Linked DNA regions of Astyanax mexicanus. The main gene of each other region encodes a partner of the protein of the gene in region 2 in a complex. Links are inferred from orthologs where the notes say so. Each region holds a gene or a part of one and is shown on either strand. Other genes may lie near its edges.

Region 1 (6,873 bases), on a different chromosome or scaffold from region 2:
TGTAGAGCAGCGATATTCAAGGTTTAGGACTGAAAACCACTGAACTTTACCATATTTACCACACAGTGTGGTACATTATCTTCTGCTGTATTTTGTCACCCACTAGTGGACACTTGCTGCAAACACAGATCCCTGCAAATGACATCATATCCTCGCTGTCCTATGAAAAACACTTATCTCCATTTTTGTTCATTTTTTAGTTTACTACATAATTTGAACAGACAAACTGTCCCTCACACTGTGCCACAATTTCTTGATGAACGAACCAATAGAAAATAACCTGAAATAAACTCTTTTTACATTGACTTCCATTGAAAGTTTACAAGGTTTTTTTCTCTCTCCTGTAAAGCTGCTGTTTTGGAGATAAGTGTTTTTTATTGGACAGCGATGATAAAAAAATAAGAGAGCCAAATAATTGTGGAATACAATAATTTACATGTTTTATTTGTAAGAAAAAACACAAACATTTATATTAAAGATGAGTTTTTACAAACAATAGATGAATATTAACACTTCTTCTTCACAAAGCTTCATTACTGTAAGTCCACATGGGGAAGGCCATCACACTGAGTTTCTCAGAAACTGGAGGGAGCTGAAGATTTTGAACAGTGGATAAAAAAAGCAAGGATGACTGAAACCAAGGATGAAATGGTAGTTTGGCTTGATGTGGAAAAACAAACCCACCAAAAAAGTAATTCCCATTCCAAAGCACTGCATGTAACCAGCGATGTGCACAGAGAACAGGTTAAATACCATCATTCAGGTTCATCATTTAATATAAATCAGTCTCTGGAAGAATTCATTCTAAACGATTTTTCAACTACAGGGTTTAGAAGTGGAGACACTATAGACGCAGGTCATCCTTGACTTGTGCTGTTTTCAGAGGCCTGGAACAGATCAAGTTAGACATAATAGGGAAATGTTAGTTCATTAATGACTGAGCACATCTCATCCCTTTTATTTTTATAAACCTGATCATCACATTTTTATTAAGTGGTATATTTTGAATATAAATTGAAAGTTACTTTATTTCAGTAATTCAGTTCAAAATGTGAAACTCATATATTATATAGATGTATTAAACACAGAGTGATCTATTTTAAGTGCTTACTTCCTTTATTGTTGATGATTATGGCTTACAGCCAATGAGAACCCAGAAAACAGTGTCTCAGAAAATTAGAACATTATATAAGACCAATTGGTATTTTGGCAGAGTGGGCAGTTTCTGTTATCTTATGTTACTACACCTTAAGTTACCTTAAGTGTGTCTGAGGCTCTGCGTAGCTCCTTTATGACTGATGAAAGGGCTTCAGGGTTGATTCCTTGCTCACACAGACGAACACATATGGACAAGGACTCCATATCCAGCCCTGTATTCAGAAGCCTGGAGATCTCCAGCAGAACTGAAAAACAGACAAAAAGAACAAGGTTACTGTCTACAAAAACAGTATCACATCCTAATACTGTGATGCTGTAATACTTGATATATCACAAGACAATTCTCTATGATACTAATAATTGTGACTAATCAACCAAACTGAGAATAAGCATGACTGATAAAAAAAATTATAGAAACCAATAAAAAAAAAATTGACCAAACTGAAAATATTTGTGACAAAAAAATAGGTAAATAAAAACAAAAAAATTCAAAATAGAGACCAATTAACTTTGAAATTGAAAACTAGAAAACTTATAATCGTGACTAATCAACCAAACAGAACATAATTGTCACTGATAAATAAATAATAGCAACCAAATGACTAATCCAATATATTAGACTGACTAATACATTAAAATATAATAATCATGATTAATTGACAAAACGGAAACTAATCGTGACTCATGAATAAACAATGGCAACCAATCGAAAATAATAATAATCGTGATTAACTGAAGCCTAACTGAAATAAACAAATAAAGAAACGCCCAATCGACTTATAGAAAAATAATAATTATGACTAACTGGCTAAATGGAGAATAATCTGACCAATCAAAAATAATAATAATAACTGTGACCAATCGACCAACCAGAAAATAACTGTGACTGATACAAAAAAAAAAAACATAACAGCGACCAATTGGCTAACAGAAAAATAATAATCGTGACTAACTGACCAATCAGAAAATAATCGTGACTAATAAAAAAAAAAACAATAGCCACCATATCAAATACAATAATAATCATGACTAATCGACCAAACTGAAAAATAATTGTGACTGATAAATAAACAATATGAAGAAATCCAAATTAATAATAATCGTGACTAATCGAACAAATGGGGGAAAAAATCGACAGATTAGTCGACTATGAAAATAGACGTTAGTTGCAGCCCTAGTGTAACAGTTACTTCTACAAGCTTCTATTAACCTTTAATGAATTAGTAATGAAGTGAACACTATAGCTTAGATGTTAGACTAATAACAGAAAATATTATGCTTGAGAAAAAAACAAACAACATTACAGAAAAACTTCAGTTAAATAAAAACAATAATAAATCACATTTAACACTCTCATTACAGCCAGACAGATACATAGAGCGGTGGGTAAGCTATGCAGGTTATGTTAGCTTCGCTTCGCTATTAGCTTAGCAAGCCTTCTGTATAGGATTTCACTAATATAAGGACATTATTAAACAGAAAATATTAAAAAAAATCAGTAGTTAAATAGATTAAATAACTCTGTTTCCTCACCGTCCATCGTTTCCCGCACAGCGTTCATGTTGGTACTGGCAGCGCTGGCCATCACAACGATAAGCTAACGAGCTAACGTTAGCACCAGCAACAACAAACTATTTAACTTTAGCTATTTACACGCTATTTGTCGTTATATTCCGGGTTTGTCCGACGTGTTTCAATTTTAACCCTTTAACTATATACTTAAATTCTTATTTAGTCTAAATAAACTCATAAAAATAGTCTATAAACTGCAGAAACCTGCTCGTTAGCTGTTTATTCTCATTTACTGTAGCGTTAGCTAGCTTCAACACCACAGCCGGTTTACAGCGAGACGGCCCACTTCCCATCTCACCCGTTAGATATAATAGTAAATTCAGTAAATGAGTTCTGACCGCTAGGGGAAGCCCGCGAGTGAGACCTCAAAAAATGGAAGTGAATGAAGCTAAAGGGCTAAGAACTTAAATAAAAATAGCAGTTAACTATTTTATTGTGATATTTCTGTAATTTTGGAAAGTATTAAGAGAGTTGTGGTACAACACTAAAGAAAACATTTCTATATGGTTACATTTGTCTTCAGGAACAGATTTTATGCTGGAAAGACGCTAGCATTACTGCTAGTGTTAGTTTTGGGGAGCTGATAGATGGATAGACAGACAGACAGACAGACTGATAGATAGATAGATAGATAGATAGATAGATAGATAGATAGATAGATAGATAGATAGATAGATAGATAGATAGATAGACAGACAGACAGACAGATAGATAGATCTCAGTGCCTCGTTTGTCGTATGTCTCGTATGTCAGGAACTACGAATTCTACCAATAAAGTGTGGAGCTAATTTGACATTGTTAATGGTGTAAAAACTTAGTAAGAACTAATAGGACCTCACACACCCCATACCTGCACTACTGCTTATACCTGCACTACCATACCCACTGTTTCCCCCTATGACTGTGGCATTTAAAGAAGTGTATGGACTCATTCACTTTACCAGCCTTAAGCTTCTATACCTCTATATTTGCACTAATGTTTGTACGAGTTCTGTTTAATCTGGTACTGTCATTCTCTCTTTAATCCCCCATCACTATTGTCCTACTGTCCTTATCTGTGACATTGTTGTATTGTACATTTAGTGTGTCTAATCCTTTTATATTTATAATATTATTTTGCTGTACTTGCTGTAACTTTTGGAAGAAGAGTAACGTAATTTCAATTCTCTGTATGTCCTGTACATATGCAGTATTGACAAAAAAAGCTAGACTGGACTTGACTTGAAAAATAGTGATTTCTCATAAGAAACTCTATGCCCCTATCACTAGCATTGTAAACCTGTTGTTTTTTTTTTTTTTGCTTTGGCTAATAGGTGAGGACTATTCAAGAAAAGTTTGTACTCATTATCATGTTTCACTACCCAAGTCCATTTTACACCAGATTACTCCTTTAAATGAATACACTGTAATTTTGCTCAGTTGCTCCATATATTTCCATTCATTTCTGCAGTGGGTATTCTCCTCTATACAGACTCTCTCATAGCTGCGGACTTGAGCAAGCGAGCAAGCGGAAACGACGTCACACACCGAGCAATGATTCTGATTGGTCGCTGTGAGAATCCCGCGCTTGTGATTGGCTGGCGTGCGTTGAGCAAAAATTAAATCAAACGTTTGAACACCAAAAGCAGGCTAGGAAACAGGAGCGAGGAGGAGGTCAGGGTGAGTTCTGTGTTTTCTGTGTTTTTAAGGATTTTATGAGTTTATTCGGGTTAAATCCGCTTTAATCCGGTTAACAGAGCAGCAGTTCACACCTCGCTTTACTGATCCGGTTCTGAATGAGGCAGATAAATGATGAATTAAGCGCTAGAGTTTTTTAATCAGGAGTTTAATCGCTTGTACTGGTACTACTTACTTACTCACTTACTTATTAACTAACTAACGAACTAAATAACTAACTAACTAACTAACTAACTACTCAGAGCTGAGCTCTAAGGGCTGCAGTGTTATAAAGGAAATTTCCTAAATAAGTAAGTTAAATAATCTAACTGACTAGGGGAAAAAACTAGACCAAACTAAAGAAAATAAGTTTCTTATGAATGCTAATATATATATATATATATATATATATATATATATATATATATATATATATATATATATATATATATATATATATATATATATATATTTTTTTATTTATTGATTGATTGATTGATTGATTGATTGATTGATTGTTTTTATTATTTATTTTTACCCATATCTTATTAATTTTTAAAAATGACGTGCACACCCAGAAACTTTGCTTAACTTATTTTGGGACTGTAACGTTTAAAATTAGCTTTTTTTTTTTTAAAGTAAAAATCTGAATTTGTTGTGCTTGAAAAAGGAAGCTAAACAACACATTTATTTTTTACTGTATATTTTTGCTAGAATTATATTTATATTGTTACAAATTATAAATGAATAAATAATGTACTTATGTCCTTTTTTATTTCTTTTCGTATTATTTCCTAGTTTTTAAATTTGTCCCATTTACGGCCTACTTTTTTTTCCAAACAAAATTTTACGCAAAATTTAAAATTAAATAAAATCTCTTTTTTTTTTTTCTTATTTTCTCTTATGTTACTTATTGTCAGTATAAGGGTTACAGTTAAGTTTTCTGATTTGGTGCGAAGTTTTTTTAAATATAGAAAATATTTTTTTTGAAATCCTTTTTTTGTTTTCTTATTTTTTTTAATGTCTGCAATCTGAATTTAAAGAAAAATAGGTTGAAACAATTTTTATTCATGTTTTTTTTTTTTTTTTTTTTTTTTTTTTCCATTTTTGCATTTCGTTACAGAAAATCTGATCTAATCAAACTTGCTTCTATTACAAGATGGGGGGAATATAAAAATCCAGAAAAAATATATACTTGAATTAAATTTCCTAAAATTTAGATTATGAGGAGTAGAAAAGGAAAAACTAAAAAAAAAATTGAATAAATGAATGAAAACTAATTTCTTCTTTACAACACAAAATAAATAAAAAATAATAAAGTTCATACCAGTTTTTTTTCTCCAAAATTTAGTACCAAAAGCCAATATGAAGGGCTTACAAACACTTTTTAAAATTCTGTTATTTTACTTTTTGATAACAAAAAAAGTAATATATATATATATATATATATATATATATATATATATATATATATATATATATATATATATATATATATATATATATATATATTACATTTTTATTTGTATAATTGTGCAGATATTGCATGTAAATTGTACTTATTCATTCTTCATATATCCTTTAAACTCAAAATACCTATAGAATAATGATTGTCAGCAAAAATAAATATTACTCAACAATATACCAATAAATGACAATCTTTTATAATGACATTGTTTGTGTTTTTTTTTTTTTTTTTTAATAAATCTTTGTTTCTTAATAAAACATATTGTCACTCTGCAACACATTAGTTAAAGATAATATAACATAGCTATAGGAAAATACTACATATTGCATCTTTAAGTACATTTTAATTAGAGTATTTATGTTTTTTCTAAGAGTATGGGACTATTTATCATCACTGATGAATGGTTCTGCATTGATTTAATAAGCTAATATGAACGTGTGAAGTGAGCCATTAGCATTCCCTGATCTAACTGTCTCCTCGTTTCTTGCTGTCCTGCCTCATGTTTTAAAAGCCTGAGGATTTCCTCTGCAGCATTAGGTGAAGATCGTTCAGCACAGAGGATGGGAGATGTTGTTGAGGTCCAGATCACTCCTGAAACTCCAGGAAGGCCGTCCATCCGTAATCCGTTCGAGAGTCCCACTGACTACCACCACCTGCACGAGCCCCTCGTCCCCAGCCCTTCTGTGTTCAAGTGCGCCAAGCCCTCGTCAGCTGTGAGTAACCACAACGGGTTTCCTACCAGGCCATTGTCTTCAACCCCATTGTTAATGTATCTAACCTGCTGAAAAAACAAGACGGACAAGCTGGTTAAGCTTGTTGACCAGTACAGGGTTTGTTTGCATTAGTTTAGCTGGTGTAACTGGTCTTAAACAAGCTAAACAACCAGTTGGACCAATCTTGACCATGCTGTAGGCCTGTCAAGATAAGAATTTTTGTGGACGATATATTGTCCCAGAAATTATTGCGATTCACAATATTTTTGTAATTTTAAGACTATTAAATGCAAATGACGTTATGAT
Region 2 (7,414 bases):
AACAGATAAATCCATCACTGGTCTGTTAAAAGGTAATAAGCCAAATAAAGAAAAAAATAGTCTGTCACAATGTGGCAATTAATTTTATAAGCTCTGTATGAATTTAAAAGCTAATTCTTTGTTTTTAGTTTTACCTGCTCTCTTGTATTTCTTTCTCTCTCTATATTAAGCTTCTGTTTACATACCCGAATAGTGAGGCCAGTGACCTCTGCGTTGCTGGGCACCGGTGGCAGGTCCAGCCGGATGTCTAGATCTGCTGTTCTGAAGTGCTGCAGGGCTCCAAACAAGGACAGCCTGGTGTCCCTCTCAAATCTCTCCTCCACCTCCACTCTCCTGCCCAGGCCTGGAAGACCGGTTCCAGGTAGAGCATCCATTAGGCTTAGGGTCCTACACATACCCCCAAATGCCCCCCACTCCTCCTCACACACCAGAGCCCACGCCCTGCTCTCCAGTTTCTGCATCTCCTGACTGAGATAACCCCCCAGCGGTGGTCTGCGGAGCACCGGCCGGTCCCGCCGCATGTAGTCTCTGCTGAAGGATAGTGCTGGAGGAGGAACTGAACCGGCTAACTGCACCAGGAACTCCAGGACTGAGTCCACCTCGGACAGGCCAGACGAGAGGGCCACTTCACGGAGCTGCGCCAGGAGGCCCTCAAGCCTCTCCGCTTCCTCAGTGTGGCCAGAGACACGCAGGTCGAAAGAGATCATCAGCATCTTGTTGTAGGCGGGAGTGCTGGCCAAAGCGTTTGCTGTCAGGCTGGATTTGGAAGAGCCATCCTGGAAGAGTTTGGACAGCAGTGCCCCGTAGGCTCTTTTACGGAGGGTGCGGCGGAACGCCTCCCTCGAGACGCTGCCCATAGAGTGGCGCTTCCATGATACTCCAGACAGGCTGCAATCACACAGTGCCCCTAGGAGCTCTGTAATGCTGCTGCTGGAACAAGTGGACATTTCAGTAGAACTCTGGCAGCAGTACATGGTGAGGTACTGGCACTAAGATCAGTGGATCATCTGCCCTGCAAGAGAAAACACAAGCACAGATACATTATGATTACAAGCCTCAATTTAAAAAAAAAAATCTTTGCATATTTTACTGGCTAGTTCTACTTTGCCTATGTCAAAATAAGTACATACATTTTGGTTAGCAGGAATGACAACTGCTAAAAGTGTTTTGTTTAATGTTGGCTTATTCTTTATGCACTTCCTTTTGAATACAGTTTGTTTAAAATTGTCTTCAGCTAGAGTTCATAGATTAATTGTTAAATATATTATTATAAGTATTGAGATAGTGTATTGCAATACAGTAGCAATTTTCAAAAACAGTATTGATTCTTAGGGTGTTTTGACACCTTAAAGTCTGGAACGGTTCATCAAGGTTTTGGTTTCACACTGCAGTTTGGCGAGCAGACTAAAAAACTACATCCTGTTGTTATCAGCTATGTGAACATGAGTCTCTCTACGCTTAATATTATTTGGTTTGTAGAACATTATGTAAATTATGAGTTTGACAAGCAAATTGAGTGTAAAAGACTATATTATCCTCAGATTTCTTTTATTCCTGATTATAAATAAGGGATAATCTACTGTTACAGTAAATAAATTAATTGCCAGTCTAAGCATTCTTGTCTATAATGCTGCATGATGTACCTGCACACCAGGCAGGGTCGGATTTTGGCACACACACGATTCTTTTTTCGTTTGTTTTGTTTAAAGATGGCCTCAACTACCTGCAATTGGTCAGAAAGTCAGAACTATCTAGAAACATGTTTTCACACTGGAGGTGAACCGGACCATGGTTCAGAAGATCTGGACGGAGAACACCTCTGGTTGTTTGTTCCAGACTGTGGCTTGCTGCCTTTTTCACACCTGCTACTTTGGTCCAAAGTGAATGCTTGAAAGTCCAGACCAAAAAAGAAAAGTGTGAAAGAACCCTGCATTATTAGTTTACAGGTAAATATTGTACCATGTTCTTTTCAATACACCCCCTGATAAGAATATGGTTGAACAGAACTGAAGACTTATGCAGATGAGTCATGATCGATAAGGACTGGTATTGAAGTATTGGACTATATGCTTATATATAGATATGTGTGTGGTGGTTGGGTGGGTGTGATAATATAATACTGACAAATACTGTCATTTTGTATATGAAAACAATAAATATTTTATTACTAAACATGCAAACAATGGCACTGTTATATATTTTTTAAATCATGTCTTTCCCAGAGCTTTATTCTACATTCATAACTTTACTTTATTCACATGTTGTATGAGCATCACTTGATAAGGTTATAACTATTAAAGCATGGATAATGGCATAATAATATTGGCAATATTTTAAATAAATATACATTAATTCAAGATAATGCTACAAATATTTTGTTTACAGAGCCAAAATAGATGAAACACAGCCACAGACAGTGTAGTTTATATAACATACATACTCTGCCTCTATTAGTGAATATAAAGAATACATCAGGAATGAGGGAGGTTATTAAACATTTGCTTATAGCTAGTTAACTATATTTCTCCAAGATTTAACAAGATGAACAACCGTTAACTAGCTAGCCAACCTAACCTAGTGATGTTAGCGGGTCACTTGGCCTCTCAGAAGAGCTGGTTTATAGAGTGTTATAATTCAGCTGTATGTGTGAGTGAGTGTGTTATGGTGTTATTATTGTTATATAGTTCTCCGGCTCTGTCTGAGTGAAGCAGGTTCTGTTCAGATTGTTAAACGCGGAGGTTTATCTACTCTGAGCTCCAGCAGTAGGAGGACATTGGCGGCTCTGCTCTCGGTTCTCACCCGGGCTCTCCGCGCTTCCTCTGGGCAGCAGCTGCAGGTCTGTCGCTCCAGTCCGGCTCACAGCGGCTCCATGAGCCCCGACCGCGGAGCTGCAGCGGCGGCAGGTCTCAGTACAGCCCGCCGCTACAGCAGAAAAGCTCCAGAACCGCGTCTCTACTCTCATTCACACTGTAAACACCACTACTGCTGTTATTTCCTGTCATTTCCACTCAGCGACCGCGCGACTTTTCAAAGCCCCTCCCTCCCTGGGGCATGATTGGGTGAAATTCTCTGTGTTGAGCTGCGATTGGATAAGACAGTTAAGCTGGTAGTGAACACTTCCGGTTTAAAAGCGCGCCAACTTGCGGATGATTCAGGAATTACCAGTAACTCTCTGCACTGCTAAACCAGCACTGCTAATAACTCTGAAAATACTGTTACTGCAGGTTAGTCAGTAGCATCCAAAAGTCAGAGCATTAATGCCAAAGACTAAACGTTCCTAAACATAGATATTTTAATCAATGTTATCATTATTTATTTCTTCTATTTACAGTGTGGCTTGTTTGTGAAACCTTTAGCAAATTCTGTATTTCTTACCGATAAATTCAAAACTTCCATAGATTTCCTACGAAGTCCTAAAAGTAGAACAAATTAGTATACATGCTCATTTAATTTTTGAGGAAAATGATCCAGTGTTACATATATTTATGTAATATATATTTTTATGTAACAAACAAAAGTTAAATCATTTTCCTCCTTTTCAGCTGGGTTGATGTAGAATTTAGATTATCTATCTGCCCGAGCCCGAGCCGAACCTAATTATATTAAAGTAGAGGAAAGTCATTGTAAATTATGTTATTGTTCTTGGTCTATTTCGGTGTAATGATTGTGCAGTGCGTAGCCTTATTGCTTTTTTGAATTTCGCACTTTGGGCCCGTTCACACGAAGCTGGATATTGGTTTCTCTCTCTGTTTTGGCCTTCCGTCCACACAAAAACGGCGACTTCAGTCACTGAAAACGGAGCACTTAAAGACGCCTTTCAAGGCGGAGCCTTGTGGACAGGGAAAACTGAGCTTTCTGAAAACTCTGATGTCACACAGCGCATGTTGCCTTTTGTTTAGCATTAGCTTAGAGATTGGGAGGGGACTATTTTCTGTGCAACAACAGCGAACTCCGGCCGTATTTTTACAGCATATTTTCTCATATTTTTCTCTGACCCAACAGCGCGGAATTACCCAGTAAATTACCAAAAAGTAAATTTGTTTAGAAAGTATTTAAAATTCTTAAACCATGTTAAAATATATTAGATTAAAGGGAAATCATTCAGACATCATCCTTGTAGCCCAATTTACCAATGTTTAGGCCTGTGGATCATTTTTCAGTTTTAATCTTTCGAAGATCGGTTCTTAACAAACATTTTTCTTAAATAATAGGTCTATGATTCTTCAGTGTTGAAATTAAATAATTAAATAACATTATGAACAGATTTCGCTTATTAAAACAGCCTTATGTGCTTGGGCACATAATAACAGTTTATGGGGTGGGTCAGGTTGTGCTCGGGCAGAATGGGCTCGGGCCAGGTAGGGCTGGATTTTTTTGGACCTGATCTAAGCTCTAGTTTGATCGCTATTGTGAAACTATATGTGCAGCAATAACTACTAACTAAATATTTGTGTTTCCTTTGAAGAGTTTTTCGTCCATTTCCTTAACCAATTAATTGCTTACTTTAGGTCATCTTTTTATTGGATTAAGGTCAGGATGTTGACCATTCCAAAACATGAGCTGTATTCTTCTGTTTTCATTCTTTGTATGAACGATTTGTGTGCTTTGCAGACATCCCAAGTTGCAAAAAAATTATTTCTGAGAGGTACCACACTAAAAACTGAATGACCTGTTCTCTGCAAGAGAACATCAGAGAGCCGTTATTGATATGCGGTTGACTCCTGCGACTTAAGACCTCTGGCTTTGGGTCATTGTCTTGTTGCAGGACCCGCATTCGCTTAAGATTTAGCTCAGAAACAGATATCCTTTCAAGATGTATTAAATTCATAAGTTACAAACCACCCTAGATTAGATGAACCCACGATTTTTACAGCTTGCAATAAAAAAAAAGGAAATGGCAAAGAAGCTGAAAAGTCTGGGCACTCTACACGATCGTTTAGTTACACTCTGTTTGGCAAGTAACATAGCATTTAGACATTTTTGGAGGCAGCATGATTTTTATTTATTGCTTGGGGGATTTTAGCTATTTTGAGATCTTGTTGCACTGCTCTATCCATAGATTTTTGAAGATATTAAGGTTAGGGTTAAAGTGTTGACAATGTGTTATCCTTGATAACTGGATAAAGCTCCTTATATAAAACCTAAACACATATTGGTTAGCACTGGAGACAACTGAAGCTAGCAAATATCGTAAACTAAAGTTACTGAATAATCAGTTAATTCCTTGACTTTCAAGCATTTCAATATATGTGTTTATAATTCACTCCAAGATTCACTAAAGAAAAACTCAAACTGTTCTATTTTTTTCTTTTTCTCTCCAAATTACAAGTTTTTATTTGGGTATAATGGTTTAGCTAGATTAGCTTCTCTGCCAGCATGACTCACATGCTGTGATAGAGACAGAGAAATACACTGACATGCCAAATGTCATAGAATAACAGCAGTATGCAAACTGATCATGAAATATAACCTCAGTGCACGGCTTGGCAAGAGCCACACCTATATATGCTGTGAGGTGCTATCTTATGTATTAAGTTGAATATTTACCAGTGTGCTCATGGAGTGTGCTCATTATTGGAGGTGGAGCGAGGTCTGATAGTGGGTGCAAAAGGGGTGGGACATTTCATTTATGAAGATGTGAAGACATTTAACGTTCTTTAATCCACAGTGTTGTGTATACCGCTCGCAATACATCATAGAAGGCCAACCACAGTGAACAGTGCATTTAGTAGTAATGAATCACTGGCTAGAACTATCCGTATGAACTGACAAGTAAAATCCACAGTAGAACACACATTTCCTGGGATATAGCAAAAGTCAATGGACAGAATACTAATACCTGATGTGGCATATCAATGTATATGTGAAGAGAAAGAGAGATGGAGGTAAATGGGACTGTTAGAGTGAAGCTAGTTTCTGTAAAATTTGGCTTCAAACACAATCGCACACCGATGAGAGGCACTGGCGTGTTGCTAACACACACCCACAGCATCTGTTTGTGGTCAACCAATGCAATATTAATCATGACAACTGTCAAGTTGCTTTTTCTGGTTTTCTAGTTTAATTAAGGTCTGTGTTGCTCCTTGTGGAGATGTGTGTACATGTGCGTATATATTTGCAGTGTGTGTGTGCTCCTTGTAAGGAATATAAGTAAAAAAAGACCCAGGCTCATTAGTCTGTGTGAAGTATGAGGCTGAAGATTAATGTCATAGCTGTATTGCAAAAAAAAAAAAAAAAAACTTTTTTTGGCAGTTTTATTTTTCACACCATGTCAATATGTCACAATGAATGGACCAACAGAAATGCTCCAAAATGAGCTGGAATATTTTTTTTTAATTGAAGTTCAGTTAGTCTTCTTCCTTCTCCTGTATAGTTGCCATTTTTTTAGCATAACAGCAAAGATTTCTTTAAATGGTCTTGCATTTGTTTTGGTGTAGATTTGTTCCTTTGGTTAAATTGAGCCCTCATGTCCTGCAGAGGGGACCTCTCTTGCTCATGCTTTCTGTAGTGTTTAACCCTTTAATGGACTTGGTGTGTAGTGAAACATGATAATGAATACAAACTTTTGTTTTAAATAGCCCATCTCTGTTCATGCATTCCAAAATACAGCGCTTTTAGCAGATGCTCCCAACAGGTTTCCAATGCTAGAGATAGGGGCATTGTCCATGCAAAGAAATGGCTATTTTTACACCATTTATAAGCTCAAAGTAGCTCCAAAATGTATTTGTATAATTCTGAGGACCCTAACATTTAGAACGAGGCAGTGAGAACTTTGAAAGTGCACAGATTTATTAAAACAGGTTATTAAAAAACACAGTTTATACACACAGTACCTTGAGGTAGTTCCTCCTTCAGACATCACCATCTTGAAATTAAGTCACGATAAGTCGATAAGCCATGGAACTTTATGAATTCCAATTTTTGCTGAAAATATTTCTACATTATTAACCTATATGTTTGGACTCGTCAATGACGTAATTTTAAGATGGGCACTTATTAAAGTTCTCAGTGCCTCGTTTTAAATGTCAGGATCCTCAGAATGTTCCCAAGAAAGCTAAAGCTAAATATTATGCCCCAATCTCTAGTATTGAAAGCCTGTTGGGAGCATCGGCTAAAAGCGCTGTATTTCAGAATGTTGGGGTGAACAAAGTTTGGCTATTCGACAAAAGTTTGTACTTATTATAATGTTTTACGACACCCCAAGTCCATTTCACACTGGATTTCTCCTTTACCAGCAAGTTATTTTAAGGACTTTTAACTGTGAGACTCTCACACTCTCAATAACAGACAAGAATAAAAATATCAGATCTTACACTCGATTTTTAGACATCAGATGTCTGTCTAACAATGTGACACAAGGGATTGTAATTAATAGAATGTAATTATTCTGGTGTTGAAAGTATTTCCTGTGTTT
Region 3 (7,646 bases), on a different chromosome or scaffold from region 2:
CTACTGACCTACAGATATTTGGCTGTCTGTGATTCTTCGGAAAATAGATATATATTTCTAATGAACACTTTCAACAATCACAGAAAAAAAGAGAAAAAAAGAATTAATATATCCATAACTGTCAACTACTACTGCACCTGGTATTAATACAAAACCACAAAGCTGATCAACCTGTAGCTGTGTTTATAATAGGGTATAGCTGACATCTAGTGGCAACCCATGAACAGTCCCACACTATTATCAGAGAACCCGAGCTGAGAAATAAGTGTATTACAGCCTTTTCTTTCATTGATAATACCATATAAAAAAAACATATAGCTGCTAGCATTCCTGCTAGTGAAATTTAATTAACACAAAATCAGAATAACCTAGACTGTTTATTTTTGGTTTAAGATGCTGCACGTCCTGTTTAAAAACCTTTATAACAAAAACTCTAGGAAGATTTTTCTTCTTCTTCTTCTTATTATTATTATTATTATTATTATTATTATTATTATTATTACTGTTGTTGTTCTTATTATTATTATTATTAATATTAACATTAACATTAACATTACATTAACATAACATTAACATTAATATTATTATTATTTGGATTTGTGTTCATGTTTTTTCTTTTTATCAACATAACAACATTTTTGTATTATGGAATTTGCAAATTGGTCAAACAAAGCTTTTGTTGAGCACTATTAGGATTAACGTAAGCCTACATTTATGGTCTCAAAATGAACCCAAAAAAGTCTAAAGGTTTGGAAAAAAAAAAGTCTAAAGGCTTTTCTTCCTGTACTAATTACAAGCATTATTCATTCATATACTGCATGTATAATTACTTATGTTAGCTTCTTATTATGTGGAATTATGATGGGGACTTTGTTATAATTAAATTGGAATTATAAGATTAATATTAATTCTGTAGATTTTAGTGGAGGTTTAGTTCACGTGGAAAAATGAATGAGCTGCATCTAGGCCTTTTTAATGTGTGAGCATTATTTACTTCACATAATGTTGGTTTACATGAATTATGTAAGTTAATATTCCTGATTTCTGATTTTAGCTCTACCTAGACCTTAAACAACTATTTATTAAATTAGATTAGATTAAATGTTGTCATTGTGAAGAGCACGGGTACAGAGCCAATGACATACAGTTAGCATCTAACCAGAAGTGTAATATACAGTGTTAGTTACATTAAGTGCCGTAGTAACCATAACAGGTGGTACGTAGTAACAATATATATGGAAAAAAATAAGAGACCACTTAAAAATTATGAGTTTCTTTAATTTTACCAAATTAATCACAAGTCATCAAATCAAGCTGAACTGCTTGAATTTCTGCACCAGGCGTGGCATAAAGTTATCCAAAAGCATTGTGTAAGACAGGTAAAGGAGAACATGTCAAGATGCATCGAACGGTAATTAAACATCAGGTTTATTCCACCAAATATTGATTTCTTAAAACCTTTATGAATATGAACTTGTTTTCTTTGCATTATTTGAAGTCTAAAAGCTCTGTATCATTTTTGTTATTTCAGCCATTTCTCATTTTCTGCAAATAAATGCTCTAAATGACAATATTTTTATTTGGAATTTGGGAGAAATGTTGTCTGTAGTTTATAAAATAAAACAACAATGTTCATTTTACTCAAACATTTACCTATTAATAGCAAAATCAAAGAAACTGATTCAGAAACTGAAGTGGTCTCTTATTTTTTCCAGAGCTGTACAGCTGCTAAAGAAATGCAGCATAGACTAGGAGCAGCAATGCAGAACAAGGGTTGAACTGTAAGAGCAGTGCAAGTAGACAGTAATACACAGAATTGAAAAATAACATATACAGTAGAATAATATTAAAGAACATTACTGTGCAGCATGAGTAACACTGTAATAGGTTTGGTAAAAATGAATAAAGTTCATAAACAGTAAGCTAGATTAACTACAGAAGGTGTAAATATGCAGATAAGTGGCAGTGCGAGTTTTTACAACAAACTTTTGTGCAGAAGTAATTTGATATTTATCAGAGCATTTAGTGCCAGTTATGGCAAATATATGGAGCAAACAGTAAAATTTCAGCGAGTTAGCCAAGCAGCTATTATAGCTAAGCTAACCTAGCCTAGCTAAGATAGCTAACAACAGTGCTACAGACAGGCGTGCGCTCTGGCAGCAGCTGCAGCTAGCCAGTGTTAGCGCTGATTATTAATCCACCCGGAAATAAAATTATAAACTCTTTAACTGCGATTAAAGTACCGAACATGCCATCCCAGCTCCCCTCCCGCAGTAATGTAATGTACCATTCTCGCAATCCAGGCTCTCCAGTATCCTCGGGCTGGGCTGGTTTAGGTGGTTTGTTGTTTGTTTAGCAGCTAAGGGCTAAAACTGCTTCTCCCACAGCGTGCCTATCAGCCTTGTCTCCTAGCAACAAAAACCCATACAAGAAATAAAAGTCCATTTATGTCAGTTAATAGTTGTATTTAAAATAATATATAATAATAATTAAATACGAAATAACAAAATAAATATATTTATACCAACAAACAGACACGTTTCCTTCTAGTTTGTATTACTAAGGTTATTCAGTAAATGTTACTACCTTACGAAAGTCTGCAACCCTAATGTATATTTCTTTAAATACTTAATTTGCAAGAACAGATAAGGTTATGTGTGATACATATATCATACATGTATCATACATTTTTTTTTGCAAATTAATTTTTTGGTAAAGCTGGCTAAATAAAACAAGAAACAGGAAATTTAGACGGGCTGAATGCTCAGAAAATCTGAATTATAGACAATATTTTTACATCTTAAATTATTATTAAGTACTTCAAATACTTTATTTATTTTAACATGCTACCACTGTCTACAGCACTCATTTACTAATTTAGTTTACCTCACTGAATCTATACAATAGTCAAACAAACACCAGCTGTGACTACATTTCTCTTAACGACTTAATTAACGACTTAATTTTAACGCAGTAAACTCAGATAGTATAATCTGCTTGTTAAAATTGGAAGTAATAAGTAGCTACACTAAAATCTGGTCGCGCATGCGGAGAGCCCCTAAGTAGCACATGTCGATGCGTAGCACAACTCGACAGAACACCGGAAGTAGCTCGTAGTATGACCGGCGCTCACACGTGGACTTTGTTATGATTAAAATGGGATTAAGATTAATATTTATTCTGCGGATTTTAGTACAGGTTTGGAGCAGAGGAGGACAGTATGAGCTGCAGTTACAGTAAGTGCTTAGTTAAGAGTGAGACTTTGATATTAATATATTTAATTAGTTATATTTTACTGTTATAATTATGAATATCATCCATATATTGTGTGTTTTATAGACTGACTGCGAGGAGAAGCAGAGTTTAAAATCTTAAACAGTTCGTATATCAAAACCCAGGCCGATCAGGAGACCAGCATGACCAGCAAGCCTCTGATACTGGACGGGGGTTTGGCTACAGAACTGGAGGAAAGAGGATTTTATCTACAGGTACTGAGAGCTTTAGAGAAGCAGACATAGAATAGGAGAATAGAACCAAAAAATACACCAGGGGTGTGTTACAGGGAACATATTAAGAAAAACAGGAAAAACAACAGAACATAGAAAATATGATACTGAATTATTTGATCACATTAACTATAATCAGTGTTCAGACCCGACAAAAACCTGGCAGAAAATTATTTTTATTTTATTATTTAAAGTGTTTATTTGACCATATTACCAACTGAACACTTTGCATATTCAGCTTTATTTTTGTATCATATTTGTAATTATTTTAAACCACAATTTAACAAGCTGGATCACTGACTTAAGGTACAAATGTGTTTATTATTTTTATACTGCTTGTTGCAAAAGAGATACATATTACAAGGTCACATTTGTCAAATAATGTTGTAGAGGTCTCAATCTTACATTCGTATACATATGAAATCTAAAGCATTAAACATCTGAAACCACTATCTGTTACCATAACAGTGTGCAGTATCACTACTAGGCCTGTCACTATAATTATTGACTATGATATAATACACAAACATAACCTCAATCATTTTTGCAGACCTCAAGATTATTCATTGGTCGCAATTAGTATAGCAAGCTCATTAATGTGAATGCTCTTGTATGTTGACTTTCTTTTTAAAAGTTTATTTCATTTTATTTAGGTTGTAGTATGTTAAGTATTTAGTATAGTTCAGATTGTATTTTTGACCTTGTAATATGTATCTCTTTTGCAACAAGCAGTATAAAAATAATAAACACATTTGTACCTTAAGTCAGTGATCCAGCTTGTTAAATTGTGGTTTAAAATAATTACAAATATGATACAAAAATAAAGCTGAATATGCAAAGTGTTTAGTTGGTAATATGGTCAAATAAACACTTTAAATAATAAAATAAAAATAATATTGCATAATTGCAGTTATTCTCACTTTTTATTTTTCATTTACAATAATACAGTTATATTGTATTATTTACAGTAATATTGAAGACATTAGGGCTATACAAGAACACATGCGGAATTATCTTGTTAAGAAAAAGTGTTAAACAAACCAGAATCTGTTTTTATCTGTTTTATACTTCTATTTTATTCTTCTAAGTAGCCAAATCACCATTTCAGTTGATCAGGTTAAGATCGGGGATTGTGGAAGCCAAATGTCTTTAATATTAATCCACAATGTAGAAAATAAATAAAAAAAGAAAAAAAGAAAAACATTGAATAAGGATACAGTGCCTTGCAAAAGTATTCGGCCCCCTTGAACTTTTCAAACTTTTGCCACATTACAGGCTTCAAACATAAAGATATGTAATTGTATTTTTTGCGAAGAATCAACAACAAATGGGACACAATCATGAAGTGGAACGAAATTTATTGGATATTTTTTCCTTTTTTTAGAAATAAAAAAACTGAAAAGTGGGGTGTGCAATATTATTCATTATTAAATATTTTTGTATCCAGATTCGGCTTTAAACTTCTCCACAACAGTATCTCGGACCTGGCTGGTGTGTTCCTCGGTCTTCATGATGCTCTTTGCCCTTTAAACAGAACTCTGAGACTATCACAGAGGTTTTATACGGAGACTTGATTACACACAGGTGGATTCTATTTATCATCAGTCATTTAGGTCAACATTGGATCATTCAGAGATCCTTACTGTAGTGAGTTTGCTGCACTGGAAGTAAAGGGGCCAAATAATATTGCACGCCCCATTTTAAAATATCCAATACATTTTGTTCCACTTCATGATTATGTCCCACTTGTTGTTGATTCTTAACAAAAAATAACAATTTCATATCTTATGTTTGAAGCCTGAAATGTGGCAAAACGTTAAACATTTCAAGGGGGCCGAATACTTTTGCATAGCACTGTAAAGGATTAGTATTTGATTATGATTCTGTGGGACTTATAAAGCATTATCTTTTTTTATTCTGGGACATGTTTCTGCAGGAGGATCCGTTATGGAGCGCTAAAGTCCTCTACACAGACCCACAGGCCATTAAAGATGTGCATTACAGGTAATTCCAGCATGTTTCATTCTTCCCTCATTGTGTCTGAATCTGCAGTCAGACTGTGAGGATGATGATGAGCTTGTTTCCTCTGTGTGTGTCTGTGTTTGCGCGCAGGTTTCTTCAGAGTGGATCTGATGTCATCACCACAGCTACGTACCAGGCCACTCTGGAGGGATTTTTCAAACACCTGAAGCTGAAACCTGAACAGGCTGAGGAGTTACTAATATCCGGAGTTCAGATCGCTAAAGACACTGCAGCGCTCTTTACCACTAACTGTACAGCAGCAGGTGTGTGTGTTAGCATAGCCGTTTAATTTAGATTCAGAATATTTTTCAGAGGCAGACAGACATTGTTAAAAAATCGTGAGGCTATCTGAGATCATTAAAAGACCAGTATGTATTATTTTTTGTAGCAACTGAAAAATTAGACTGGATGCATGATCGAGTAACATGCTAAGCTAATGCTAAGTTTAAGTTCTAGGATTATCTCCTTAGAACTGTTTGTTATTGGGTGGAATTAGGGTTGAGCGGTATTGAAGTTTTTCCACCATGTTTAAAAAACCGTGGTGTACCGAAATACCGTCATACCGCCAAACACAAGGTGGAATATTTCTGTCTTTTAGCCTCTGGCCCCACGCTCTGCCTACAAGACAGATACTGCTAATTCTCTTCAGAACAGAGTAGTGCTGAATTTCATCTAACATTAGCTGGGTAATTTGTCACAACCGCTAGTTCAGGGATGAGCATTTAAGATAATTTCAACATTTTCACAGCATTTATACTCAGTGCTCAGCTGAGTGCAGCTGGGTTATCAAGGCAGTCATGTATTTAAGGTAAACTGACGGGACACAGCTGTTAACTCAACAGAGACTAATGTACACAAAGATACAACAGAAACAAAAAATTGAATTTATATTGACTCAGTTTAGCTTTGAATATGATTATACTTGATCTCATCTTGCACTGATTTGCTTTCAACCCTGCAGTCTGTGGAGGAGAATTAGTGGCAGTCAACTCTCTCTAGTGTTTTAAAATTATACTGCATTAGATATTTGTATATGCTTGTTGTCATTTAATACATACTGTTCCTTTAATTTTGTAGATTATGTTCACTGACAACTTTTTATTCTGATAAACGTTCACAGACAGAGCAGTGCCACTGGTGGCTGGTTCTGTGGGTCCATACGGGGCGTTTTTGAACGATGGGTCAGAGTACACTGGAAACTATCAGAGCCAGATGAGTGTGGAGGTAAGCCTGAATAAATCACTTTGTTCATACAGGAGTTAATAGCTAGCTAATTACTCTCAGACCCGGCACAAACCCCATGCTCCTGTCACTGCAGGAGCTGAAGGACTGGCACCGCCCACAGGTCCGCTGCTTAGTGGCAGCAGAAGCCGACCTCATTGCCTTGGAGACCATACCCTGCCTTAAAGAGGTGGAAGCTTTAGTGGGGCTGCTGAGGGAGTTTCCTAATACTAAAGCCTGGATGTCCTTCTCCTGCAAGGTACCTAGGCCGTCTACACACTCAACTGCCAAAAGTAATGTGGCAGGAACTAGTATCGTGTCCCATGACTTTTGGCATGTTTCATGTTAGGTAAAGAGAACTGCACTGAGCTGTATGATATGTGGGTGGGGTCTCCTGCATTGAATGTGGATAAGGAATCTAAATTTCTCTCAGAGCCGCTAGTCTCTGTTCACACAGACAATTCTAGCCGGTGGATGGTAATATTAGCTTTCTATGATGTGCTTCTTTTACACACATGACACTGTGGATGGAGGTATGTTAATTCACCTGCACCCACTATCAGACCTCACTTCCAACTTCCATAATTCACCTGCACCCACTATCAGACCTTACACCAACTCCCACAATTCACCTGCACCCACTATCAGCCCTTACTCCAACTCCCATAATTCACCTGCACCCATAATTCACCTGCACCCACTATCAGCCCTCACTCCAACTCACATAATTCACCTGCACCCACTATCAGACCTTACACCAACTCCCACAATTCACCTGCACCCACTATCAGACCTCACTCCAACTCCCATAATTCACCTGCATCCACTATTAGACCTCACTCCAACTCCCATAATTCACCTGCACCCACTATCAGCCCTTACTCCAACTCCCATAAT
Region 4 (7,688 bases), on a different chromosome or scaffold from region 2:
GGAACTCGTCCCGCTCGATGGTCGGGGCGTAATTACTTCCGATGACCCGCACAGCATACTGAAACTGGTACGCCACATCAGCTGGAAAAAAGAAGGTCAGAGAACTCAGTGACGCACGTGTTAAACATCCCAAAGGCACCTTTTTTCTGTCCCCAATAAAAGACAAATCAAACATAAAAAGGTATAAAGCTAGACGCCATGTCAAATAAGCAGACATACTGTAGCTAACGTAATCAATACTGCATCCAATGATGTTAAATTAAGGGCCATATATGGGGTCTATATTTATCCTACAGGCATTTATCTAATCGTTTTTACCTCATTTTCTGAGGAGGGTCATATTACTGAAGAGCTTTCAGAGCAGAAATCTCTTTACTGCTGACATACAATAGTCGATAATGCCAAATGTACTGTCCTGTATGGAAACTGACAACTTGTAATATAATTATGAAACTACCTTGAAAGCAATATGTGCCCAAAAAAACAAGGGAGTAGAAATAGTGAGTGTCCCACTTTTACTGTACCAGTACCAGTCTCTACTCTTCTACAACAGATGGGCCCAGAGCATCCCTTTCTATTGCCAGTGCTTTCCTTAAAAGTTCTCTGGACTGGTAGATGGAGTGCCATCAGTCCTGATTGGTCCACACAGTTCCTGTACTTCACAACTTAGGCTGCTTTCACATTTAACTTGTGTAAAAGCAAGTGTAAAAGGTGCTGCAAATCATGGTGTGGACCTTTAGACCAAAAAAGGTGGTGTTTGTATCAATTGGAACATGAGTTTGGTTAGTTAGTAGATGTTTTAGACTTTGTCAACCATTCAGCAACAGAAGAAGCAAAAGAACTGGTGCTGTGCCAAAATCCTCCGACTCCATCAGAACTGATTACACTGGCAATCACTGTATCTACTGTAACTGTACTTGCAAACAGAGATAAGTGATCTGAGGCTAATCAGTTACATTCATTCTGATGTGGGACGTGCAGGCAGGCGAAGGGACGCTGAATTCTAGCAAAAGGATCTGTAAAGGCATCTCGCCTAATTAAAACATTATACAATCAAATTGTAAAAATAGTAGGTGACGACAACGGTATGCAGCAAAGTTATTTATTTATTTAGTCTAGAACCAAAACAAAGCAGGCCAAATGTATGTACACATAAACCTTGATTCAAATTCTGGTCCAGATTCATACAACTTTTAACCAATAAATTTTCACGATTTTTTTCATGACTTTTCTATGCCTTCAAGACAAATTTTATTATGATCAAACGATTTTTAAAACATCACTGAATGCATAAACAATAAAACCAAAAACAAACTAAAACTATAATCAAATTTGGATTATAGTAGGCCTTAAATTAATCTGACGCACAACCTTTAATAGTAAAATGCATGTCAAATCCTAAGAGCACCATTGTGTAGGTCTAAATTACTTGATTTACCGATGTATTTGTTAGCTCAAAATAGATTTTCTCTGTTCATAAATGGAAACACAAAAATGTGTAGATCAAATTTCCCTGGCTGTTCCAAAAGGTCTGGGTGTTTTTATTTTTCCAAAACTTAACAGCTTAGTTCCTGCAGCTCATGCCTGGCTTTTGAGCATATCTAAATTAGTCTTGCATGCAAATGTTTCAGTACTTCCCAGTGTGCTGAAAATACCTTTACTCTTCAAATCTTCAAATTAATGGTTGGCATTAGATCTGCCATGAACATAATAATATTTTTGAATTGTTATACAATAAATGGACATGCCCTTAATAATATTAGATGATTGTGATATAAAAACAGTGAACAGTATTTTAGTAACGACCAATGCAGAAGGCGCAAAAAAGAGGATATATATTTTCCAATCTAAGATTAATTAACATTTTGTAGTCAGTGGCACTTATATGGTCTTAAAAAGACAATAATATAATTTATTGCAATATATCATCCCCACACACACAAAAAATCATCATGACAGGCCTAAATGGCATTATACTCCATTGCATCCTTTTCAAGTGACACTACTTGTTTTATATACGCCAGAATCTCTAGAGAGGTGATTCTCTGCTCAGGTAAAAAGTTCCTGTAGAACAGGTGACACTTATGAGCATCATATTCTATTGCCAATGCTTTTTAATTAAGATTATACAAGCTGTGGCATCCTGAGATGACTAGATGAGTCACTGATTAGAAGGTGTGTCTGCACTGAGCACTGTATTTTTTTTCTCCATCACTCCATTCAAAGCAATGCATGCATGCATGTCTAAATGGCAGCGTTTGACTCCTCATGTCAGTGTATCTTTACTGCTTCTCTGATTCAATCTGGCAACCTGGGCTAGCTTGGACAAGATAGGTTGCTAACTAACTAGCCAGGATAAGATGCTTGAGATATGGACCACAGCGGGTGAGAAACTAATTAGCTAACTAGAGAGAAAGATAGAAAGATAGCCAATATATGCTTTTAAACATTATAAACTTTTAACTATTACATTTAATATTAAATTTAAACTATTACAGAGACAGTAACCTAGCTAGCTAGTAGAGATTCTCTTCTCAGCTCTGTTCCCAGTTATCATTTGCAGTTTTCTCGTTTTCACAAAACTCTTAAAGCAAGACAGCGATAAACAGCTCATTAATGGTCAAAAATGGTCCAGCTGAAGAAAAACGACCACACACACACATTAAACACGAAGCAGTCGTGTGTTTTCAGACAGCTGTGCGGTGGTAAACGCTGGCTATAGAGGACCTTATTCAGGTTAGCTAGCTTAGCTCCGCTGCTCGTTACCTTCGCTCTTGCCTGTGATCCTGCAGCACAGGCTCTGCAGAAGCACATTGGGCGATTTCTGGTCCAGAGCCGCCATCCTGCCCGTTTTCTGGATGTCAGAGACGAAGCGCAGGGGTCCGGGGGGTCTACCTTAGTCCTGCCCGCTCTCCTTATTCCTCCAGCGGCTCGCCATTTTAACACAACCCGCCGAAAAGGCGGCCTCGGTTAGAAACGGAGCGGGAAAAAAATACACGGCGGAGTGAAAATACGGCCCACTGAGAAACAAGCGCTCATCGAGGGTTCCGAGCTTTTCGTTCCTACCGATAAAAGAACATCCAGACCACTGTGGGATAGGTTATAATGAATTAATCAAATAAATAAATACACACAGAAAGCATAAGTAAAGACACATAATGCATTTAGAAACTGAAAAAAACTGTTATGAAAAAATAAGATTTTTTTGCTAATGATACTGCTTATTATAATTGATGCTTATTATGGAGGTCCACAATATTTATTTTTATGAATTTCCAAATTTCCGTTTTTTAGAAGGGCAATATAACCCAATACATTAAATGGCTTATTCCGCGTCATTTTGTCAAGTTACTATTAAATTACAAGAATTACAAAAAATGAATAAAATAGATAGCTAGAAAGGTTTTAATGGACAGTGACAATACCTGTATCAGTCTGGTTTTTGTTTTGCCCAAAACTAAACTAAATATAAAACTAACTAAATATACAGAGTTTAATCACATTTATTTGCACGGTATTTTAGATGCTAGTAAAAAAGGTGAAGCATCTGTTTTCTACATTTTATGATTATTAAATCACATTGGCTTTAGTATTAGTATACTTCTATAGTGTATATGTACAGTAACAGTTTATGGTTTGAACACACCTTCTTATTTAGTGTAACTTTTTTCTTTTAATTTAATTTTAATAAAATTTACTTTCTAAATATTCTGGTTTGTTTAACACTTTTTGTTTATTAATAATAATGATAATAATAATAATAATAATAATAATAATAATAATAATACTAACAATAGTTCCCCATTCATGTAAAGCTTTAATGTCTTAATATTAAATTAACAGTAAAAAACTTTTGACCGCTACCGTATACTTATATCTGCATAACATATTTTTTATTGAATATGAGTTTAAATATTTAGTCTATATATTAAACTTGCGGCTCACACTGCACCATTCTGGAAATGCGTTGCATGATTTGCGGTATAACAGTTATGATACGTTTTTCTGTTTTAGCAACCTAGATAAACACATACATTGTACATTACATGTGTTACATGTGTACAATACATTGTACATTACATGTGTTACATGTGTACAATACATTGTGTTCACATTAAATCTTTTTCAGTGTTTATATTTATAGAACAATTAAAACATTAAATTGTATTAAAACTAGACTTATTTTTTTCGGCAAGTGATTTGTGTGAGATGCTCTAAAAGAACATTTAGAGTATTATATTATTATATTAAACATTAATCAAAAGTGATACGAAAAATACATGGGATGTTGGAACATTGCTTGATTGCAGTAAATTAGTTTATAATTAGTGGATTACATGCTCTGAAGCTCACTCCAACACCTATACTGGCCCAGCTACTGTACTGTATTATGGAGCTGCTTATAAATACAGCATCTTGCTAAGTTAGGGCGGGAAGGAGGGTGTGGGAGTGGCTGGGAATGCGCATGCGCCTCGAGCCCCCCGTGACGCTCCTGGAGAGAGGGCTGTGATTGGTTGTGCATGGAGGGCTAGTACTGGGGTGAGAGCATAGACTGTGTATGGGTGGGAAACAGAGAGAGAGAGAGAGAGAGAGGGAGGGAGGGAAAGATAGAGAGAGAGAGAAAAGGAGAGCGAGAAAGAGAGAGAGAGGGGGACAGGACTCGGCAGAGCCGCTGGAACGCAACACTTGTCCAGGAAGAAGTATCTAGCTAGCTTGCCTCCTTCAGCACTACTCGAGGAGGGCTGCTGGAAGACTCGGAGACTGAACGGCGGTCAGCGGGGCGGTGAGCGCACGGAGCCCCGAGACAACATGAGCAAGCCCGGACTCGCCGCTGCGCTCTCACCGCGACCTGGAGAGAAATAAAGCCCCGGTCAGAGCCGTGCAGCCCTGCTGCTGTCTCAGTATCAGTGTGTATCAGTCCCGGCGGACACAGCAGCAGAGACAGAAACAGAGACATGGAGCAGCAGAGGAAGATCAGCTAGCGATTCACACACCTCTCTATCAACACACACACTCACACACCGCGCACACACACACGCAGCCTGAAGAAGATCTGAGGAGCAACACGCAGGCGGTGGTGTTGACCGGCAGGAGAAGATGGATTTTAGCACCATTAGGAACCTCATCAGCAGATACGTGAGTAACGTTAACGTTACCTACTTAACCTAACCTCGTTAACCGTTACCTAGGTTAGTTAACCTGTTCAACTTGTTGGTCTGCCCCTTCTTTCTCTCCGTCTTTCTCTTTTCTCCTTTTTTCTCTCTTTATTCTAACGTTACTCTCCTGAATGTGAATGGAAGCAGGAGGACTGAAGGCTGAAGCTGCTGCTGCTGCCTGTTAATTAACTAACGTTAATAAATAAAGCCCTTTAAACCCCAACGTGGACACCATGTTTCTCCAGCTAAAAAACAGCAGCTAGCTAGTTAGTTTACTAATAAGTAAAGCCGTTTAAACCCCAGTGTGAGCACCATATTTCTCTAGCTAAAAACAGCAGCTAGCTAGGTTATCGTTAACTAACCTAATTGATATACACACAGCACACAGCTAATTAATGTATATCCATAGCTTTAGTAACAAATTGAGACAGTCATATGCCAGGGTTTATTATGTAAATACTAGAGAGAGAAAAATAATAAAGACAGTGGTAGTAGTAGTAGTAGTAGTGTAGTGGGCTACTACTGTAGGTTATATATTAGCAGCTGTATGTAGCTAGGTAACCAAGGTAACCCAGGTCAGGTGGCTAATGTGTTTTAGCTAGGTTATCTAGTTAGCTAATTAGCTAAGTATGGCTGGACGTTATTGCCAAAATTGATATCATGATAAAATGTTAACTAGCTACAGTTTCCGTTATAAAGAATATAATCAAGAGGAAGAGGGATGATCACAAGCCATCAATCCAAGCTGAACTGCTTGAATTTTTGCACCAGGGGTGACATAAAGTTATCCAAAAGCAGTGTGTAAGACTGGTGGAGGAGAACATGCCAAGATGCATGAAAAAAAAACAGAATTATTCCACTAAATGTTGATTTCTGAACTCTTAAAACTTTATGAATATGAACTCTTTTTATTTTATTTTTTGCATTATTTGAGGTCTAAAATCTCTGCATCATTTTTGTTATTTCAGCCACTTTTCACTTTCTGCACATAAACACTCTAAATGACAATATTTTTATTTGAAATTTGGGAAAAATGTTGTCAGTAGTTTATAGAATAAAACAACAACAAACAAATACCTATAAATAGCAAAATCAGAGAAACTGATTTAGAAACTGAAGAGGTCTCTTGATTTTTTTTCCAGAGCTGTAGGTTAGGTGACTAATGTGTATTAGCTAGGTTATCTAGTTAGCTAGTTAGCTAAGTATGGCTGGAAGATTTTGCCAACATTCATATCATGATATAACATTCTAGCTAAGTACATTAATTGTTTTTCTTTATTAAAAAAAAATGGTCTGCATTGTAGTAAAATATACTACATTTTTACTACTATTTAGAAAAACATATAAAGTGATTTAGAGTATCTGAGTAATGTTCTAATTCATATTATGGCAAGTACAGAAAAGAACTTTAAAAGTATTCTCGAGTGCAGTTGCAAAGACCATCAAAAATCAACAATCATCAGGACCGCCCCAAAAAAAGAGTCATGACTTCATTTATATGAAAACTATGCATCCCATGAAAAAGCTCTGAAAATTAAAAAGTGATGATTTGTCACGCTGTGACAATTTGGCAGAAATGTAATAAGAAGATGTGAGAAGAAAACGAAGGAGAAGAATGTCAGTTGAATAATAATATACTGTAGTTTGCAAAAGTCCTGGGAGATAAGCCCATAAAATAATATCACAATATGTCGGGGTATTTCTGTGATCACAGTATTCTTGGCAATGTGACAAAAAAGTGTCAATATAATAGTTTTAACCATTTAACCAGAAATTATTTTTTTATTTACTATGTTTTTTTGGCATGGCTAATGAACGGAACCCACAAATCTGTTCTGATAGGAACACCTTTTGAAAGAATGTGAGAAGAAGCGTTAGAATATTTTAAGTTGCTGTAGAAAAGCAGCTTTTTTAAGGCAGGTGACTAGCTTATTTATTAGCTTATTAGCTCAATAGCTTATTTCTCCAGAGTACTGATAGGTATTCTGGGTAGGTCAGTGTGTTTGTAGGGTGTAGTGTGTGTGTAATTATAGCTAAGGCTATAGCACTGAGCTAATGACAGTCTTTCCAGTATTTTTTGAGGTGACTTGGAAAGAACAAGAAAAATGTGCTTAGTCACAATAACTTCATTTTTTTTAAAGCATATATTGTCCTAGAAATAATTGTGAATATTATTATTATTACTGATATGGTGATAACATTATGGCACAATAAAACAATTACACATTTTTAAAGGGCAATAATGTTTTACTAATAATAGTTGATGATTAACTAATATTCAGGAGATCTGTCTCTATGTAGGCTCTGTTATTGATATATGTATTGGTCATTGCACGACTGGCTATAATATTGGTAAAACAGTTTATTTGTATTTAAACAACCATGCAGGTGAACACAATGAAATATATCAAGGCCAGTAAAAATGATTGAAGTCATATCTGTTTAATTGTATGATAAGCTGATAAGGTAATTATAGTGACTGGACTACTCAAATAAAGCTAACATTTATTACATTCACTTAGGCAGCACGGT

Evidence for each region.
Region 1: the proteins of tubgcp6 (region 2) and mzt1 are in contact, whole or in part, in a crystal structure (PDB 6M33), measured with the Homo sapiens proteins. The link is inferred for Astyanax mexicanus from reciprocal best matches to the Homo sapiens genes TUBGCP6 and MZT1. Residues at the interface, in NP_065194.3 of Homo sapiens: Met1, Ala2, Ile4, Leu7, Phe8, Asp10, Leu11, Cys12, Ala14, Leu15, Pro17, Ala33, Leu37, Val40, Ala41, Ala44, Leu45, Asn48, Ile70, Leu73, Lys85, Arg88, Leu89, Leu92, Val93, Glu95, Leu96, Leu104, Leu105, Ser109; in NP_001065243.1 of Homo sapiens: Asn17, Ala20, Val21, Thr24, Val27, Leu28, Glu30, Ile31, Ser32, Ile34, Leu35, Asn36, Thr37, Leu39, Glu42, Thr43, Leu44, Ile46, Cys47, Arg49, Leu50, Cys51, Glu52, Gln53, Ile55, Asn56, Pro57, Glu58, Ala59, Leu60.
Region 3: tubgcp6 (region 2) and nme7 share a complex: the UniProt entries of both Homo sapiens proteins name them as parts of the gamma-tubulin ring complex. The link is inferred for Astyanax mexicanus from reciprocal best matches to the Homo sapiens genes TUBGCP6 and NME7.
Region 4: the proteins of tubgcp6 (region 2) and tubgcp3 are in contact, whole or in part, in a cryo-EM structure (PDB 6X0U), measured with the Homo sapiens proteins. The link is inferred for Astyanax mexicanus from reciprocal best matches to the Homo sapiens genes TUBGCP6 and TUBGCP3. Residues at the interface, in NP_065194.3 of Homo sapiens: Pro65, Arg67, Asn68, Leu71, Met72, Ser74, Phe75, Asp76, Arg78, Asp87, Glu90, Asp151; in NP_006313.1 of Homo sapiens: Pro9, Asn10, Val11, Leu13, Gln14, Glu25, Ala26, Ala29, Gln30, Phe32, Gln33, Val36, Arg37, Ile39, Gly40, Ser41, Phe43, Thr129.

What each region holds. Positions count from the first base shown.
Region 1 is NC_064428.1:31,769,680-31,776,552, forward strand, and holds mzt1 (mitotic-spindle organizing protein 1), read right to left. Parts: upstream 3,017-6,873; 5' UTR 2,744-3,016; coding exon 2,692-2,743; intron 1,404-2,691; coding exon 1,258-1,403; intron 888-1,257; coding exon 858-887; 3' UTR 424-857; downstream 1-423. Other genes in the region: bora (protein aurora borealis), read left to right, coding at 6,415-6,567. UniProt on the Homo sapiens protein: Required for the recruitment and the assembly of the gamma-tubulin ring complex (gTuRC) at the centrosome.
Region 2 is NC_064409.1:46,359,649-46,367,062, forward strand, and holds the start of tubgcp6 (gamma-tubulin complex component 6), read right to left. Parts: upstream 3,007-7,414; 5' UTR 2,800-3,006; intron 1,013-2,799; 5' UTR 975-1,012; coding exon 186-974; intron 1-185. UniProt on the Homo sapiens protein: Component of the gamma-tubulin ring complex (gTuRC) which mediates microtubule nucleation.
Region 3 is NC_064412.1:46,691,667-46,699,312, reverse strand, and holds the start of nme7 (nucleoside diphosphate kinase 7), read right to left. Parts: upstream 3,017-7,646; 5' UTR 2,887-3,016; intron 2,619-2,886; exon of another isoform or gene 2,525-2,618; intron 2,409-2,524; 5' UTR 2,291-2,408; coding exon 2,288-2,290; intron 1-2,287. Other genes in the region: zgc:172121 (homocysteine S-methyltransferase YbgG), read left to right, coding at 3,417-3,488, 5,443-5,510, 5,619-5,791, 6,649-6,752, 6,847-7,008. UniProt on the Homo sapiens protein: Possesses an intrinsic kinase activity. Displays 3'-5' exonuclease activity with a preference for single-stranded DNA. Does not seem to have nucleoside diphosphate kinase activity.
Region 4 is NC_064428.1:26,418,663-26,426,350, forward strand, and holds the start of tubgcp3 (gamma-tubulin complex component 3), read right to left. Parts: upstream 3,002-7,688; 5' UTR 2,843-3,001; coding exon 2,767-2,842; intron 82-2,766; coding exon 1-81. Other genes in the region: atp11a (phospholipid-transporting ATPase IH), read left to right, coding at 5,098-5,136. UniProt on the Homo sapiens protein: Component of the gamma-tubulin ring complex (gTuRC) which mediates microtubule nucleation.